Linked DNA regions of Struthio camelus. The protein of the gene in region 2 interacts with the protein of the main gene of each other region in a pairwise test. Links are inferred from orthologs where the notes say so. Each region holds a gene or a part of one and is shown on either strand. Other genes may lie near its edges. The genes, in order: NELFA and PRR22.

Region 1 (8,584 bases), on a different chromosome or scaffold from region 2:
ACTTTATGGTTAATAAATGTGTCAAATATCCAATACCAGTTAGAGTATCCCAAACCACGAGAACAAGCTATGTAACAAACCTTGATAAACACAACCTTGTTTTAGCAAATTCACAAGATGAATATTTGAGAAGACAACGTTCCCTTTAGCTAGCAGTTTTGTTACACTGGCAGTTTTTACCACGTATAGAAGGAAATCTATAATGAAATCAGTCTATAACGAAATAAATCAGACTTGTTAGCAAGGTTAAAGGTTTCTACCTCATCATTTTCTTAATTTAACAAGAACGTCTTCACTGAGAGGAAAGTTCAAAAAAAAAAAAGTCCTTGAAATAATTTAAATAAATTTAAGGTACTTTGCAAAGGACTGGGAAAGAGAGCAAAACCCTAGCTCTAGAACAAGCATGCTCTGTTTACAGCTAAAAGACTGGATTTATGACTGACTTCAACTCTACCAGAGAACTGAAAAATCCCACAACACTCTTTTTTTGTTCTAGCAATAGCAGTAAAAGTGTTTACATTTGGAACACAACTGATCACTTTAACAACACATTAAAGGGCACAGAAACCAGCTTGCTCTTCTTCACATGACACTTCATCTCCACAGCTAACAAAAGCACAGATTAAGTAAGTGGCCTGCTGCCATCTTCCTTGATTTGAATTAGTCTTAAACAAATAACAACAAAAATTAGGTTTAGTGCAAGTCCAGTGAGCGCTCCTGCAGCATTTCAACCAAGTGTTTTAGTTGACTTGAACTGCTGCTCCCTCACCATAGAGCTGGCATTGAGTACTACTTATGAAGGACCCTAAGCTTTTTTAAAATTCCCTTCTCTTAGGCCTAAAAACACCACTAGTTTGTTAACTTTCACCAAATACTGCAAGACTCTTCTTCCAAGCTATGTGGATTTTCACAGCACTTGAGAAGAATTTTACATACTTAGAGTTTGTGGGAACTGAGGGGTCGTTCCCTACCCCCCTTTCCAGCCTTGGTTATTTTGTTTGTAGAAAACTAAAAAGCAAAACTGCATTTGTCTCGCCCAAATAAGAATGCTTGTGCACTGGACAGGCACAAGGCATAAACATGTTTTAAAAACAGAGGAAGCATATGCTGAGCAAAAAGTGTCTTTTTAAAAGCAACTGCAGTTACGCGTAACAGAGTAACAACCATAGAGATATATCTGGCAAGACAGATCCTGGCATACACTAACCTACTGCTTGGAAGCAATGCTTTTGCATTTTAAGCTTAGAAGTGCACAGAAGTAAAGCATACAATAATCTGAACTATGCACAGTCTCCCTACACTATGTCTAGTATATACTTCTATTAAGCGTAAGCAACAGAGGCACAACCTACCCATGAAAGGGACTGCTACAAGCACAACTGAGGATACTGTACACAAAAAGCTGAAGCCCAAACCACTCACTATCTCCAAAACTGTTATCAGAAACCAGCACCACACATGCTGGATAAAAGAACAGGAGTTCCTCCAACCTGGCTGAAGAAACTCAATGTTTCCCAATCCTTCTCCAATTATTACCCCAAATATCTGTATCTGCCTACTGGTAAGAACAAGGCAACGGCAGATGACACACGGTCCAGAGCCAAGCGAATAAACTCTGCTGGATTTATGCTGACTCCATGCAAAGTCAGATCCAAATCCGGCCAGCCAGATTATTAGCTGGGGTCACGGCAGTAAAGGAAAGAACAAGTACTTCCTAGAAAGGTAAGGGGAGGCAAAAATCCACAGCAATTTTCTCCAATAAGTCCTGACTACAAGAAGGTGGGGAAAACACTGCTCAGTGCAAACCCCAGATCTTCCATTCCCAAAGTTTCAGCACTTGCTGCTGTCCTTCCTAAATCCGAGATACTCGCCTGTGGATATCCACACAGCTGCCAGTATTAAAGAAAGCAAATGAGATCTTCTCCACGTTATTGTTGGAGGCCAATCTTCCCTCTGGGGCCTAAACCTAGAGCAAGCATTGGCTCAGAGAAGCCCTCCCCCCTCCCCAAAGAGGCACCAGAAGTCCCCAAACTCTAGCAAAATATAGTCCTAAAGCTACAAGTCTGCTTGGACACGTTAAGAAAGGTTTCAGGTTGAAACCCGAGCCCTGCTTTCGAGAAGTCTAGCGCCAACCACAGATTCCCTCACGAGCAGGAAGAGGAGCAGCAGCGACGCCGCCACTCCACTCCCGTTAACCGGGGGGGGGAGAAACCTGAGCACCTTTTTGAGGGCCCAGCCTCCAAGCAGGGCCTCAACGCACCGCACTACAGAGGGGGGGGAACAAAAAAATAAACAAAACTGCCAGGAAGGAGCGGGGATACCCGTGGGGAAGGCGGTAATTACTTCCCACCCGCCCTGGGGAAGCGGCCGCTGCCGGGCTCCCCCTCAGGGGCGGCGCGGCCGCGCTAACGGCTCGTCGCGCGCCGTTGGGGGGGGGGGGGGGGGGAGGCGGGCGGCAGCGCGCCCCGGCGCCACCGACTCCATTTAAAGGAGGGGGAGGGAGGTGGTGCCCCCCTCCTTCTCCCCTCACGCCATCTCCGACTCCTCGCCCCCCCCCCCCACACTCCGTTTCGGTTAAGCTTCCCGCGCAACGTCCTACCCACAGCCCTCACCTCATCCACTGCCCGGCGGGGCAGGTGCAGCATCCCCAGGAGCAGCTTGAGCTTGACGGCCGAGGAGAGGCCGTGGAAACAGAGGCGGATGTTGTCGATCACCGAAGCCGTGAGCAGCGAGGCAATGCTCGGCGGCGCCCACAGCTCGTCTGTGGAGCCCAGCTTGTTGTGCAGCCACAGGCCAGTGTCGCTCTCCCGCATCGACGCCATCTTGGGAGCGGGGCGAAAAAAGAGGGGATTCTCCACGGGCATTTTATGAAGACACCTAAAGGGAGGAAGGGGGAGGGGGAGTGAGGACCCCTGCGGGTCGCCGTCTCGTTCGTAACCCAAAATGGCGGCGCCCTGCAAGGGAACCTCGCTCTAGGGAAGGCGGAGATTCTTCCGTAACCTAAAATGGCGGCGCCCACACAGAGAAAACCACCAAGGCTCTTCTCGTGTCTCGCTCAGATGCAAAATGGCGCCCGCCATCCCCCCCCCCCCCGCCGCCGTATCGCAAGATGGCGTAACCTCACCATGGGGCAGCTTCTCTGTCAGCTCCAGCTTGCTGCTCCCGACGCCCTGCCCTAACTCCTCCAAGACTCCCCTCGGCCGCGGAGCGGGACTGGGGCGCCCGGCCAGCCGCGGAGCCGGGCGGAACAGCTGCGAGGCGGAGGCCAGGCCCCGCCCCTCTCCTCGGAGGGCGCCCGCCCGCCGAGCCGCCTGCTTGGCCCCGCGCGGCCGTTGGCGGCGCCGGGAGAAGGGCCGAGGGCCCCGCTCGGCCGCCCTGCCTCCTCCTCGGAGGGGAGGGCTGGGCCGCTCCGCGGGGTTGGCACAGCTGCCGGTGGCACCACGTCTCCTTCCCTCAGGCCCGGTTCCCCCCCCCCCCCCCCCCGGGCTCGCAGCCTGGCTCCCCGGCGGCAGCCGCTGGGGCCCCCTCAGCGCCCTCAGGGCCTGTGTTGAAAAAGCGTGTCCACCCCGCTCCCCCTTTTTCACTTTTCCTGCCAGCAGAGTGGGTTGCTTACTGCAGCTAATGGCGCCTTGAGGTGCACCCACCTCTGCGTGCGGGGTGCCTCCTCTCCTGCTCCTCCGTGTGCCCCTGGCTTTCCTCCCGCCTGAAACCACCCCGCAGAGCTTGCCAGCACGGTGGTGGATGATGAAATCTCTGTGTAACGCTATGATTTGACCAAAATAGAGCTAACTGCCCTTCTCATCGTTTTCCCCCAGGGACTTCTGGGCTGGGTGCTGCTGAGATTTAGGAAGTTGCCGCTGCGCCTGTAATGCTAGCAGTAGGTACTCTGAAATTTAGGGGTTATTGTGCATATGCTCATTCCCTCGTGATTCAGCTCATTGTTATTTAAATATGAAAAATTAATCAGTTACCTAAATCTCAGAAGATTTCAAGTTCTTCAGGTACAGCATAAAGAGTTCATTTTAGTGTCTTTGCTCATTGAAATGAAAGCACAAGAGCTGTGGTAGGAGTGCCTAGCGCATTCACTTGTTCTCTTTCTCTGTTTTAAGCTTTTGAAGGAAAACGTTTTCTTCACAACTTTCTTCCTACATCAGGAGGTTGTTTACAACCTGTCGAGCTGAGCAGTTGGTGCTGAGGAGCTTTACATTGACTCTTCAACACTGTTTTGAGGAGTAATTACTACATTCTTGTTGCCAACTCCAGAACTTTGCTTTCGCCAATCATACCCAGTTGTTTAAAGTAGGCACCAACCTTGCTAAGACTTAAGCTAAGCATGTGCCTAACTGCAGTGCGACATCCCACAGAGTTCATTGGAACTATTTGCTTCTTGGTAGGAGAGAGAGTTTCCGATTGTAGATTACCCAAAGTGCAGAGTGTATATTCCTGTACGTTATAGAGCCTCTGACAGAATTAGGTCTAGTTTTCAGAAGGTTATGGACTCTGCTAAAGTGTTGTGAAAGTAAAAAGTGTTAAGTGGCACAATTGTGACAGAATCCCCCAAATCGGCTGGTGAGGCATAATCTCAGTGTCTCACCTTTGATTCTGTTTTCTACCTCTGAAAATGTATATTCCATGGGATACTGCAACTAGAAAAAAATTAGCTAAGCAATGAAAACTTCAAACGTGAAGAGAAAACTAACCAACTCCTATTGGAGGTGGGCTGGAGAAAGCAAATCACAGAATACCCTGTAGTTTTTGCAGCTAATTGTGTTCAGGCGGTAGCTAACACACAGAATTAAACTGTTTCCGAGAGCTGGTATAAGTGTTTTTTAGGCATCAGAGCTGATAAATACTCTACAGCACCACAGTGCCACAAGTAGAATTGTACATCCTCTCTCTACCAGCTCATATAGACGGACCATTTCCTGAAAAGGTAACTTTGTTCTGGTAGACTTTGTATGGGATTAGGTACCGTCTTGCTCAGGTGATGCCAAAGCTGCACACTGATGGAAGGTAAGGGAGTACTTTTTACATACTTTCTTTGTTACATGCTCCCTTGGGGCGTCTATTTTTGCCCACTGTCAAGGGTGAAAGCAGTGGGCAGCGTGGCCATTTAGTCTGTTCTGGTGTAATTATTTTTATTTTCTTAGCTGAAGGGTGACCCCCAAAAGAGAGTCTATTCTCTGAGGTGTATCTGGAATATAAGGTTTTATATAGCAAACGTGGCTCCAGTCCTACCACCTGCAAATCTGTGCTTGTCAGCTGCTGACTTGAGTGGGCATGCAGAGCTTAGGGAGATTAAGACAAAACGCCAGCTAGTTATAAGATCATGGTTTTGTCCTGTCTGGTAACTAGTAGATTAACTTTCTGTTTGAATATAATAAAGCTTTATTTATTTTTCAGTTAGATTTTGTCTAGTGTGGGTAGTGATTTTCAGAGTAATATGGCAAATACCAAAGTGCTCATTCCTCATGGATGCACGAACCTGTAGGTTAATGGAGTATACTTGAGTTCTCTGAAAGTGCTTGATATCCCACATAACGTTGGGTTACGCAGATAACTGTCCGCAGATATTTTCTCCTCTGAGTTGCAAGTCCCTGATTCAAAGTTTGTAATACTGGATATTAAATTGTTGAGAAATATTAAGAGCATGCTATGAGACAGATCGCAGGGAGACAATCTAGATTCACTTCCCCAATTGTGACGGTGTTCACATAAAAGCAGATACAGCCAAAGAGTCACGTCTTCCAATCCACTTTATATTTGTTTCAAGAAAGGTAACTCTTTACCTCATACCAAAATCCGTGCTCCAGGGATTTCCGGACCTGCTGTTTTTCTCACTGCCTGTCCAAAAATATATATGCTGGGATGAACTAGTGCTGCATCAGTGAGGGCAGCCTGCTGTGTTAGCTATCAGACTCAGAATAGCTGTGTATATTCAGAAGGAAGTTACAGGGATAATGCCTAGAAGTTTCCTATTTTAGGGGAAGCAACAGCACATCTCAGCTGGGCACCCAAATCGAGGAGTGGAACGCTGACGGGCAGAGGGTTCAGAGCGGTGCTGGCATTGAGTTCTCAGTTGGGAAGCAGCAGCTTTTACTGTGTTTTAGAAAGCACTGAAGCGTGTGCAATAAACATATCATTAGCATTAGCAGTGGCACTAAGTTCCCATTGGCATCCTGCGGTTGCAACTGTGACAGTTTCTGAGCCAGCAGTGCTTCAGATTATGATTCATACTGTGATGACAGGGACTGACCCGAGAAGGTAGACAAAGCAGTTGGCTGTATAGCATAGTACTATATAGTACACCCAAACCCCCACGCACTATTAAAAGGATTCCATTAAGACTGAATAACTGAGCTTTTAAAAACTCTAATTAGGTTTGTAATGCTACTTTACATGTAATGCTACTTTAGCGTGCTACGTTATTTCCCCTTTGTGCAACTCTGGCGATCTGAACACTGCAAACGTTTAATACATTCAATGCTTCCATACTTTGTTTAAAGTGCATTTTTTTAAGTTTTAGAAGCATAATAAGAAGACAAATTTTATCATGTGGTATCAGGTTGACGCCTAAGTTTTCTGCATAGTTAAGACCTTTCAGTCTGTCACTGGAGCTAACAGAGTGACTGACAGTCAGGCTACTATCCTTTATGGCAGCCAGCGACAGAGGTATTCTGTCAGTGTGTTTCAGGTGCACACCGTCTTAAGGAAACACTGTATTACTTTCTTTACATATAAATTAAATTATCATTAAGCTGCACTTGGTTCCATAAAATGGTATTTATTACCATTTTTATTTTCATTCAGTTCATTAAACTCTGCTTTTTATAAGTTTCTGCATTTTCCTTTTGTCTGAGTGATCTCAGCAGATTTTACTTGTTAAATACAAGGGTGTGTATTGCTTTTTGGTGGCCTTTTCCCTACACACAAACAAAATCAAAACCTCTGTCTTTCTTTCCTGCACTTTTAAGCTAACCAGTCATTCAAAATTGAGTTTATTTGACGTGTCTTAAAACTCTTTGCTGTAGCAGTGGGATCTGAAAGGTGACTCTCAGAATTTACTCCATCAAAAACAGATTATTTGACTTCCTCAAGTCAAGTGCTCAGCTTACTTGTGGTAACCTCTTGCATCTGCTGTGACACAACCAGTTACCTTTCCTGCTAGGCAAAGTCTTTTGAAACGGATATGGCTCTATTCTATCAGAAATAAAAATAAAAGTACTTTCGTAGCTATGAAAAGTTTACCGGCTAGTTCCTCTCTTGTGAATTTATGTGACATGATGCAAGCTACTGCAAGGGTTTATCATCTGGTTACCTATGTCTAGGATTATGTTTACATTACCGTCCCACCCTCTTACTTAGGACTTCAGCTACACAATTCTATGTTTTTTCTTTTTTTTTTTAAATAAACTTCAAAATGGTGTAGGACTTAAAACCTAGGATGATAAAGGCCCATGAAGACAGCCCTTGAGAGGTGGAAATCAAGTGGTCGTTTGCTTTAAATCTTGTTCTAGAACAGTTTCACTTCATACACTGCCACTCGTAGGCCCTGACGTGGTAGTGGCTAATGAGGCCTGATAATTGAAGATTATCAGCAGTGATAATTTCCTTGAAGCCTCTGCAGAGCTGCAACAGTGGCATATTTATGTGCAGCTCCCATCCTTGAGGAAACGCAGCCTTCTCTGTTTGGAAACCTAATTTTTCCACATCCTCAGTTGTCACTATCAGTAGCTCATCAGCGTGGTGTTAGTGTGTCCGTTCCTAGAGTTGCCAGGACTTTATTTGTACGGACTGCTTTGATTTGAGGTTGTTCTGCCTTATTGAACTTTGTGAGGTTTCTGTTGGCCTAATCCTGAAATCTATTGAGGTATCTCTGAATAAAGTTCTGCTGTTCATCGTGTCAGCCGCTCTCCCTAACTTGGTGTCCTTAAAACTTGCTAAGGAAATGTTCTGTGTCATTGTCCAGGCCTCTGATCAAGACGTTGAACCATATGGGCCACAGCATCAGCACAGGGAGAAAGAGTAAAGAGGACTGAAAGCTTGTAAATGCTTTCGCATTGGTCCCATATTGAGCAGTAGGAGAAAGGCTCAAAAGCCCAGGAGGCAGAAAAAGGAAGGACACACTCTTACAGCCTGACAAGAATTACGTTATTTAAGTCTTACCATAAAGCTGTATTGTATCATACATATCCTGTTGCACTGTTTGAGTCTACGTGTGATACAGCTGGGTCTTCTGGGTGTGATTTAGGAGATTTAGAGATGCAGGGCTGAAACCCTTTCCAGACCTAGGAGTCAGTGGAGAACCTGGATTTCACAGTCCTCCTCTGCTTGCTCTGGATCCCGGTCAGCATCAACGTTGGGAGAGGTGCATAACACAGGTAGGTGAATTTACAAGCTCGTAACTCTCACAGACACAGTTTCCTGCTTTTAGTGGTAGCTGCAGATGCCGTGAACTTTCCAGAGTTCCTGCTGATGTGTTTCTTACACTTATTAAAATAGAGATCACTTATTGCAGTATTTGCTTATGTTCTAATCGTTTCCTTCATTTGTTGATACCTGCTTACGTATTTGTGCAGCATGT
Region 2 (8,823 bases):
ACTAAGGCTCCTTTACTTTGAGTTTTGGGGGGATTTTTTTGGTTTTTGTTTTGTTTTTTTTTCCTTCTCTCAAGCAGAGTAGCTCTCTTCAGAGGGGCCCCTTGGATATCTGCAAAGGGCGGAAGTCCAGCCGGTCGGGGCTCAGAAGAGTTGGGGGGCGAGGAGGATGCTCGAAGGGGGGTCGGCTCGCGAGGTGAGATGCTGAGGGAGCAGATGCGCCGAAGAGCCGCGACTTGCCGCGCTCGCCCAGATGTGACTGCTTCTGCCTCGGTCCGGACCGTCGCCAAACCGTGCGAGCTCGCTAGCTGGGACTACTCTTAACGAAGGGGCTTATAACTCCCAGAGCAAAGGGGTTACTGCTAACGACATGCGTAGCTCAACCTGCACCTACTGCGAGCAAGACCCGAATGGCTCTTCCTCTTCCCGGTCCGCGCTGTGGCCTCCGAGCTCTGGCCATCCGTTGCCCAGGGGCCGGTGCCGCGGCCCCCGGCGCGGGCTGCGGCAGGGGAGCGCGGCGGGGACCGCCGAAAGGCGCCTTGGCCGCGTTGGCACAGAGTTGTGGAGCTCCGATGCAAAATAATCAATAAAGAGAGATGATTCCAGGCACTTTCTGGCCTGTTGCCGTGATTTTTATTTTATTGCACTTTTTTTTTTTTTTCCCCTCTCTCTTCCCCTCCCTGGTTTTGAGGATGCCAAGAGCCCCAGCTAAGCATGACGGGGGGGGGAAGGTCCCTTCCCTCCGGGCAGCTCTGTCCTTGGGGTACGCAGGTTATTTTGCTGCAGCGGTGAGAAGCTGGGCGACGGGCTGCGAACTGGTGGGAAATAAGGGATTTGTTTCACGGAGGCTTTGGAGCAGCAGGGCTCGGCACGTTGCCCCCACGTTGGAGGTGAGAGCGTGCAATGCTCCATGCAGAAGTGCTGCAGCCCTCGTCCCCCACGTCTGCCCTCGTCCCATGGAGGGCTGGTGACACCAGTTCCCACGAATCTGCCCGGACACAGCCGTGCTGGCTGCTCGGGGGGAGGATGAGGATGCTCCGAGCCTGGGGGGGCTGCACGCACGAGCAGGGTGCCCGGCTCCTTCCCGGGGCACGCACCTCTAAACGCGTCAGTGCGTGGTGATAGCTCTCCAGGAGCAGATGCTGACGCTATGGAAAGCATCCTCAAAGGCACCTCCGCTGCCCCTTTCCCGAATCCCATCTGCTCTTCCCTTAATTCCCCCCCCCCTTCTTTTTCTCCAGCTCAGCTCTCCTGGTCCCTGCGCTCGAGGATGCTCCTGGGGCGGCCGCTGCTCTGCTCCCTCCTCGCCGGGGCCAGGGACCGGCGTGCCTGTCCCCACGCTGGCACCCGCTTTTCGGGGACCCCCGGCAGCTGTAACGGGGTGACTGGTGAAAGGCCCCGAGCGACAGCGGGGAGAGGGCTGCTTTCCTCCAAGAAAGGTCCTTTTCTGCACGAATCGCTTTTAATAGAAAAAGTAAGGAAAACACCATCGTCCCTCGGGAAGTGCCATCGCCCGCCCCAGCCGTGTCCCCGTGTCCCCGTGCCGGGGTTAATCCCGCTCTCCCGGCCGGCTGGGGGACGCCGTGCACGTGCTGCCGGCCCGGCCGCCTGTTTTTGGCGACGAGCCGTTTTCCTCCGTTTCCCGTCGCGTTTCTTGGGCGCCGTCGGGGGGCTCCAGCCCCGCGTCCCAGCCCATCTCCTCGGGGGTCACCTTGATGGCGTAGAAATAATCCATGCTGAGCACGGCGCCGAGGATCTCCGGCACGTTGTAGTCGGAGGAGAGCAGCTCCTCGGGCAGCCAGAGCGAGCCGATGTCGCGGGCGGCCGCCGCCTCCTCGCAGAGGAAGAAGCCGTCGGCGCCCGGGCGCTCGCCGAGCTTCAGGACGCTGCTCAGCTCGTCCTGGCCCAGCTCCGCGGCCAAGGAGCAGTCGAAGAGCTTCATGGCGTCCTCCAGCAGGACCTTCTCGGGCAGGTCGGCGGGCTGCCGGGCGGCCGGCGCCGGGCTGCCAACGGCCGCCGGGCCGGGAGCGGCGTTGGGCGTCGGGGCTGGCGAAGGCGTCTCGCCGGGGACGGGGCGGCCGGCGGCGAGCTGGGCGGGCGGCCCCGGCGCGGCGTCGGCCACGGGCTTGAGCCGCCCTTGGATGTGGCCGTAGCCGCCGCAGAGGGGCGGCTCGGCCAGGCCGAGCGGCGGCGGCGGCAGCAGCAGCGGGGCGGCGCGGCGGGCGGCGGGACCGACCGCGGCGCCCGGCGGGGTCACCCCTTCCTCCGGCGGCGGGTAGGCGACGGCGTAGCGGGGCAGCGGCTGGTAAGGGGCGAACGGGTCCGGCTGGCCGGCGGCGCGGAGGTACCGCTGGGCGTCGAGCAGGACGGGCGGCTGCAGGAACCCCGTGGCGGCCCATTCGATGCGGTAGATGCGCGGGTCGAAGAAGCAGCCGCAGGGAGCCATCTGCAGACCTGAGAAGCAAGAGCCGCGTCTCGAGCGCGGGGTCCCCCCTGCCCCCTCCTCCTCCTCCTCCTCCCGCGCCGAAGCTCCCGGCTTGGCCCCCGCCGGGGTCCGGCGCGGTGCGTGGCGGGACGGGGCGGAAAACCGTGGGAAAAGGGAGCTTGGGCAGAGGGAAGATGGGCGAGCGCCAAATTATAAGCAACTGAACCGGGACGGATGGGCGCCCATAGGCTGGTCGAGGCCGGGCGCTGGGTGCCCGTGTACCTGCCGGCGGGGCCGCGAACGCCTCTTTCTCTTGGCCCGGCGGCTGGTAGAGGTTGGATGAGCCTGCGGGGGGGGGCGGGGGGAAAAAAATCACAATAGAAAATTCGGGGGCGGCCGCGTGGCACGGAGCCGGGGGGGGGGGGGGGGGGCTGGATCCCACCTCCGGCCGAGAGGCTTCGGGGCAGGCCGAGGGGCAGGGCTGGGGGATGCGCCATGGCCGGGGGGGCTGGGGGTGCCGGCGCCGTTGCCGTGCCCGGCCCGTTCTGTTTGGGGGGGGGGTCTCTGGGGAAGGAACGCGGCGGCAGCCGGCGTTCCAGCTCCGGGCAGGATGGTGCTGGACGCCTGGGCTCCCCGCTCCGCCTCGCTCCTAGGACCGAGCCGGACCCCCCCCCCCCAGGTAGTTATTTCCCTGGGGGCAGCGCACGGAGCTGCCTTGGGCTCGGCGGGTGATTTAGCACCTCGGCGGAGGAGCGATGCACCCTGCGGGAGGGCAGGCGGCGGGGTCGGGGCAGGGGGGGTCCCGCGTCCCCCCCCATGCAGTGCGGCGCGCGCGCCGGGAGATGGTGCATTCGCCCTGCCGCCGCCGCCGGCCGCGTTCCCCTCCCCGTCCCCGGCAGCCGACCGCTCGGGCTTCGCAGAGGAAACCGCAGCCCGGCCCGGCTCTGTGACGTCGGCTCGCGGTAGCTGCTGCTGGCGACTAGGATGCGACCGAGCCATGATGAGGCTTCGGGGCTGTGAAGAAACAGGCCATTTTCACGCCTCTTCTTTTGCTTTCTTTTTTTAACTTGTGCAAGGCTGGGGCATCCCGGAGGGCGCTCGGCCCGGGAGGGTCCCGCGGGTACCACCTTGGCGACAGCGCTGCCGGGGGGACGCGATGTGCCGGAGTCAGCGTTGCCCCGCTCCGCTCTTCGCCCGGGCTGTTTGATCCGCTCTGTCCTCTGCTGCAAGCGTTTCGACGGGCGCTGCCAGGGAACTTGCTTTTCCCTTGGCGGAGAGGCCACAACGGATGCGACAGAAGAGGCCGCTTGCTTTTTCAAGGTATTTTTTTGTTGTTTCAAAGTTCCTGCCTTCAACACAGAAGCAAAACTGGCTGCACTAAAACAAAAGGCAGCTACTTTTAAAGGAGGAGAGATGGCAATCCCCACCGAAGATCCTAGTTAGGAGCCATGGTTTTGGGGTCCCGTGCTCTTTCCTCCTCTCCAGCCACGGCCGCACGCGGGTGGGAGAGCAGCTGGGACGAGCCGAGGCACTGACGCCGCTCTGCAGCCCCGGGAAGGGTCCGGCACCCACGTGGCTGAGCTGAACCACGGACGTTGAGCTGTCTGGTTCGTGGTTGTCCATCACGGACGAGCTGCACTCAGTCCTAGTGCCGCGTAGCTGCGTTTATTTAAATGCTAGAGACCTAGAGAGGAAAAGGGGCCTGAGGGAGGTAGGAAAGGTCACGCAGAGTCACTCAGCAGCCTGCTTTCATCCAGCCCTTGTTCGAGCAGAGCTGTGAGCTGTTTCAGGCTCTCGGTGAGGGAAAAAGCTAGGCCTCTCTTGAGGATGTCACCCAGCTGCGTGACATCCAGGACGACAGGGTATCTGCCCTGTGCACTCCCAAAACGGGACTGGACTCTGCAGAACATCAGACTCTGGGACGCTGGGGCTGTTTGTGCTCTACAGGACCCCAGGGATTACATGTTCCCTCCTCGTACTCGGAGGATTTGGCACTACCGAGGACGTCCTGGTACGAAGAGAGGCCTCTCGCTCCTGCCATGTGAATGACATGTGGCGTGGATAGTCAGGATAACTTCAGTTGTACACTGGAGGCCAAAGATCTCTCCTGGCCTGCATCCTGTTAATTAAACAGATTGCTCTCTGTTAACGAGGCACCTCTCACACTTGCACAATCCTGCAGCCAGGCCATCTGATGCTTAACTTGTGGCTGGGACTGACACTTGGGGGCCTGAAGGCAACCACACTTCTAAAAACATATAAATTTATTTAATTCCCAGGCACAGCTGAGCAACCTACTCCTCAGCACACGCCATCCCAAAGCCTCCTCTCGACTCGATGCTGTAAGAAAGGTCCCATCGGTTCTATCTGTAGGAGTTTGCCTTGTGCTTGGGCAGGAAGGTGAAGTTGGCAGGTACGGGTCCCAGAAGCAGCTCACTGCAACAAGAGAAAAGATTTGTGTTCAGTTCATCACAAGCAGCTGGGCCACCAAGACTCAGCTGTCACAAAGCCCCTGGGGGCTCTGCAGCGATGGTATGTGTAATCAGAAGTATCAGACCAAGCTTTTACTGCCCTGAAACTCCGGGAGAAGGGTTGTTGTACACAATCCCCTCCATAGGTGCCAAGCTTTAACCCTGCTGCAGGGACAAAGCCCCCAGAGATGGGCGCTGCCTTCAGTCTATGAGGCGTCACCTAGAGTCAATGCCAACGTGGGTTCCTAAGTTTGGTGACCTGAATACCAGCCTCATTGCTGGAAACAATGCACCTAAAATCATCACGAGCCTTTGAAAAGCTCGTCCCTACCTCTGGCTGTGCTTGCGCAGAGCCAAAACCCTAACGGTGCCAAAAATATTAAGGTCGGATCCGAAAATGATGTAAGCCAGCTCTACTGCAATCAGATTTATCCTAGCTTAAGACTTCAACTGTTTCACACTTTGGAACCCACATTGTGTTTTCAGTGCAGATTACTTTTCTTTATAGTCAAGGAGGCGTAACATATTTCCTGGATGCTGGTTCAATACAGCATCACTAAAACTTTCCATAAGACATGTCAGCAGAGACTATCCCAGTAGGGCACACAATTGCATAACAGGACTTTGTGAATCTATGGCACAAAAGCAGAACAGTGTGTGCTTAGAGAATCCTGCTTCTGGTTAGTGTCTCTTTAACATGAGCTTTAGCAAATAAACCTAAACTGACTTTTAAAATTGTTCTTTTAAGAGTCTGTTACAAGGCATTCCAAAGGGTACAGGTTACAAAGCATAGTGGACCCAAAAGCTGGCAGGTTCTGCTTGAAAAATGGCATTTAAAAAAATCCGGATCAAAACTCCGTGTACTTGTAACTTGGTTTTAGGCAGCTGTTCCCATTACTAACAAAATGGATGAGGATTAGCAAAACCAGAGAAGGTTGTAGCCATGCTCTACTTTTGCTAATCTCCATTTCCATGAGATGGGAAATAGCAGCTGGCTACGCTGCTCCAACTCTCATTTCAGCTGGCTCTGGGCTTGCAGAGTCAATTTCCAGCCACCGTCTGAGGACTCGTAGATGTGGGGAAAAGCAGTTTCCTATGCTCTGTTACATCAACTCAGAAATCAGACTATGAAAAAAGAGGAAAATATCCAGTTCTCCTAACTAATTTCACAAGTTGTTTGAAAGCCCTTGAGGATGGGGACTGCTCCCCTGCTCTGTATGGGCCCAGCAGAGCAGGGTCCGGGCAGAGCACGGACATCTCCGATGCTACAAAAGCCTGAGACGTCCCATCACTGCGCTCTCCTCCGTTGATTCCTTCGACTGTCCCTGGATGAACAGTGTCATGAGAGAGGTCAGCTAGTCTAGATTTGTGCTGGGTACTTGATGACCTGCTAAGGCAGATACCGGGAATGAGAGAAATCCCAAGCTCCGTTAAAAACCTTGCTGAAGTAAAGTACTGGTTAACCCTTCCTGGTTTCTTACAACCTCTTAAACTTGTGGAAATGAGAGATCATCCCATTTTAGAGGATGCACACGGGCACGGTCACTTTGTGAGGCTCTGCAATGTCCCCTCCTGGAAACCAAAAAGAAATTCAGTGCTTTGCTACCTTATTTTAATCCAGTCGTCCACATTTTGGCTTGCCATTAGTGTCTCCAGATAGTCTCTCCCCATGTAGTAAGGCGGTCGCTCATTGATTTTCTGAGGTAGGTGTTCTAATAAGCCAACTGGAATATACCTACAATGCAAATATAAATGCTAATGACACCGTGTGCTATTGCTCAACTTGTACAGGCCTTCTGTGAAAACGATCCTACCAGTTGGGGAGAATTACCTGCACAGAAAAGAGAGCCATTCCAGCAGGAACTTCCTGGTTTTCTCGACTCCCTGAGTATCAGACCCCCAGTGTTCAAGGCCATAGTTGGTGAAGTCTTTGAGGATATCAAATCTCTCACTGGAGGAGATATCCCAGTGTCTCTGTTCCTTAATTTCAGTGAAAATCCATGGTTTGATGAGTGCCCCTCTGTAGTCAAACAAAACGGGCATTGTTATTCACCTGACTGCATGCTTCTGGCGATGCCAACTAATTTAAGAGACTTTCCAGCTCTTATTTGCCAGCCAGTGTGACTTTAAAAGCTTTCAATCTCGATAAGAAGCTGCTGTAAGTTCCCACAGATACAAATGACTCCACTGAGTTCCAAAGAGTAGTTTCTTCAAGAGGAAACTCTTCCTGTGTTTTGAGTTTGTTTAGGCTTTTTCTTTTTATTTATTTTTTACTCCTGCATCAATAGAGCCCAGGGAAATAGAAGTGAATGGGGAAATACAGTCACTTGCCTTGCAATCATAATTCCTGAAACACCCATCTGCATGGCTTGATTAGCATCTTCATAAGATAAAATATCACCATTTCCTGTGTCAGAAGGGAGGGAGAAGCCAGAGGTCAAAGTGATGCACCAGGGCAAGTCAGAATGAGTGAATCCAGGCATGGGATAAAATTTAGAACGGCTGTAGTGCCTAAGAGCCAGGCTGTCCAAACAGACTCTGGGACTCATGCTTAGAGACTCCCAAGGCTATTTCTGATTAATAGTCCCCTTACAAGGAAAAGAACTCTCTCTTCCTTTTGCCCCAATCCCAACTACTACCCTCAAGGTTTAGCTGGGACTGTCCGCGTTATGGTGTCCAAAGGAGGGAGAAAAAACACTATAAATGAGGTGCATTATGTGTCTTACCTGGCCCTTCCCCTCCTAGCCCTGCTCAGCGTTTGTTAGACCTGGCCCTGGAGATCCAAGCGCTTGGGCAGAACGGAGCTGCCCAAGAGCTGCTGGTTGCACATGGTACAGACTGGGAAAAGCCCGGAGGGACTTCAGGCAAGAAAGCTGGTGCCCCAGACCTGGCACGCACGGCACGCAGGGGAGGCAGATTCCTCCTCACCGTTCTTTTGCCCAAATGAAGTCCTGCCACAAACGACCTTGCTCTGAAGTGGCTCTGCTGGACATGATGGTGTCTGTCTGCTCGCTCTTTCTCTCAGAGCAGAGCTGCACTTAAAAGCAAAGCAGGCAGTCGCTGCTGGGACAGCTGGGCCACCTCCACGCTCGGACAATGCTCCGTGGTGTCGTCACCAGCCATACCGATGCTCCAGCCTTTCCCATAGACTGCATGCACTTAGGGGCCTTTTTTTTTTTCTCCATCGTTTAAACAAAACATGCAGCATTTTCAGTCTACTGAGATGTGATCTCAGGCAGGATAAAACAACAGAAACACCTACCAAAAAGAGGCATGGGGTTTGCTATTTTAGCACATTCTGCTATGTAGTCCCAGTCGGCAACCTTTGTGTACCGTTGTTCCCTAGATCGGCCGTGAAGCTAGGAGAAGAAAGCGGCAGTGAGACCCTCACCCGAAACGCCCCAGAGAAAGCAAAGCAGAATGGGAGCACCAAAGCAATGTGCTTCGAGGAAAGGCAACACCATCACTTTGCGGGAGAAGGATCTTCCTAGACGTACACCCCAGCTAGTCGCTAACAGAGACGCCTGCAAAAGCGGTTAGCAGAGGTTTAAAGTGTGCTGGATGCTTTCTGCACTATGTTTCAGCTATTTACAATCCAGAACAAGAAGTGATGATTCACAGTAAAAGGGAATACTCACTGTGGACAGGGACTACCCACCCTGCTGCAACTGAGACGGCTCCACCCTTTTTTCCTCAACCCTGGAATAATGCTTATTTGGCTTAAAAGCTCTATTTCAAAGCACTGCAGGAGTCGCCCCCTTTTGTAACGGATACAAGACTTGGGAGTACCTTGGACAATGCCTTAAAAACAAAAGCATCTGCATTTCTTCTATTATTAGCAGAAATCACTAAAAGGTGCCATGCAGCCAAAGGTGTTTGAAAGCACTATTCCGCTGTGGGGGGGAGGGGAAGGTCACCCCCACATGGCGC

The links.
Region 1: the proteins of PRR22 (region 2) and NELFA interact in a two-hybrid assay, tested with the Homo sapiens proteins (2 studies listed by BioGRID). The two-hybrid records come from large-scale screens. The link is inferred for Struthio camelus from reciprocal best matches to the Homo sapiens genes PRR22 and NELFA.

The regions. Positions count from the first base shown.
Region 1 is NC_090945.1:77,948,668-77,957,251, reverse strand, and holds the start of NELFA (negative elongation factor A), read right to left. Parts: upstream 3,760-8,584; 5' UTR 3,614-3,759; intron 3,328-3,613; exon of another isoform or gene 3,125-3,327; intron 2,878-3,124; 5' UTR 2,865-2,877; coding exon 2,613-2,864; intron 1-2,612. UniProt on the Homo sapiens protein: Essential component of the NELF complex, a complex that negatively regulates the elongation of transcription by RNA polymerase II.
Region 2 is NC_090967.1:4,123,862-4,132,684, forward strand, and holds PRR22 (proline-rich protein 22), read right to left. Parts: upstream 4,046-8,823; coding exon 3,991-4,045; intron 3,072-3,990; coding exon 3,022-3,071; intron 2,784-3,021; coding exon 2,705-2,783; intron 2,452-2,704; coding exon 1,547-2,451; 3' UTR 1,453-1,546; downstream 1-1,452. Other genes in the region: la-related protein 6, read left to right, coding at 1-5; DUS3L (tRNA-dihydrouridine(47) synthase [NAD(P)(+)]-like), read right to left, coding at 4,786-4,858, 6,500-6,628, 6,725-6,913, 7,225-7,300, 8,156-8,252.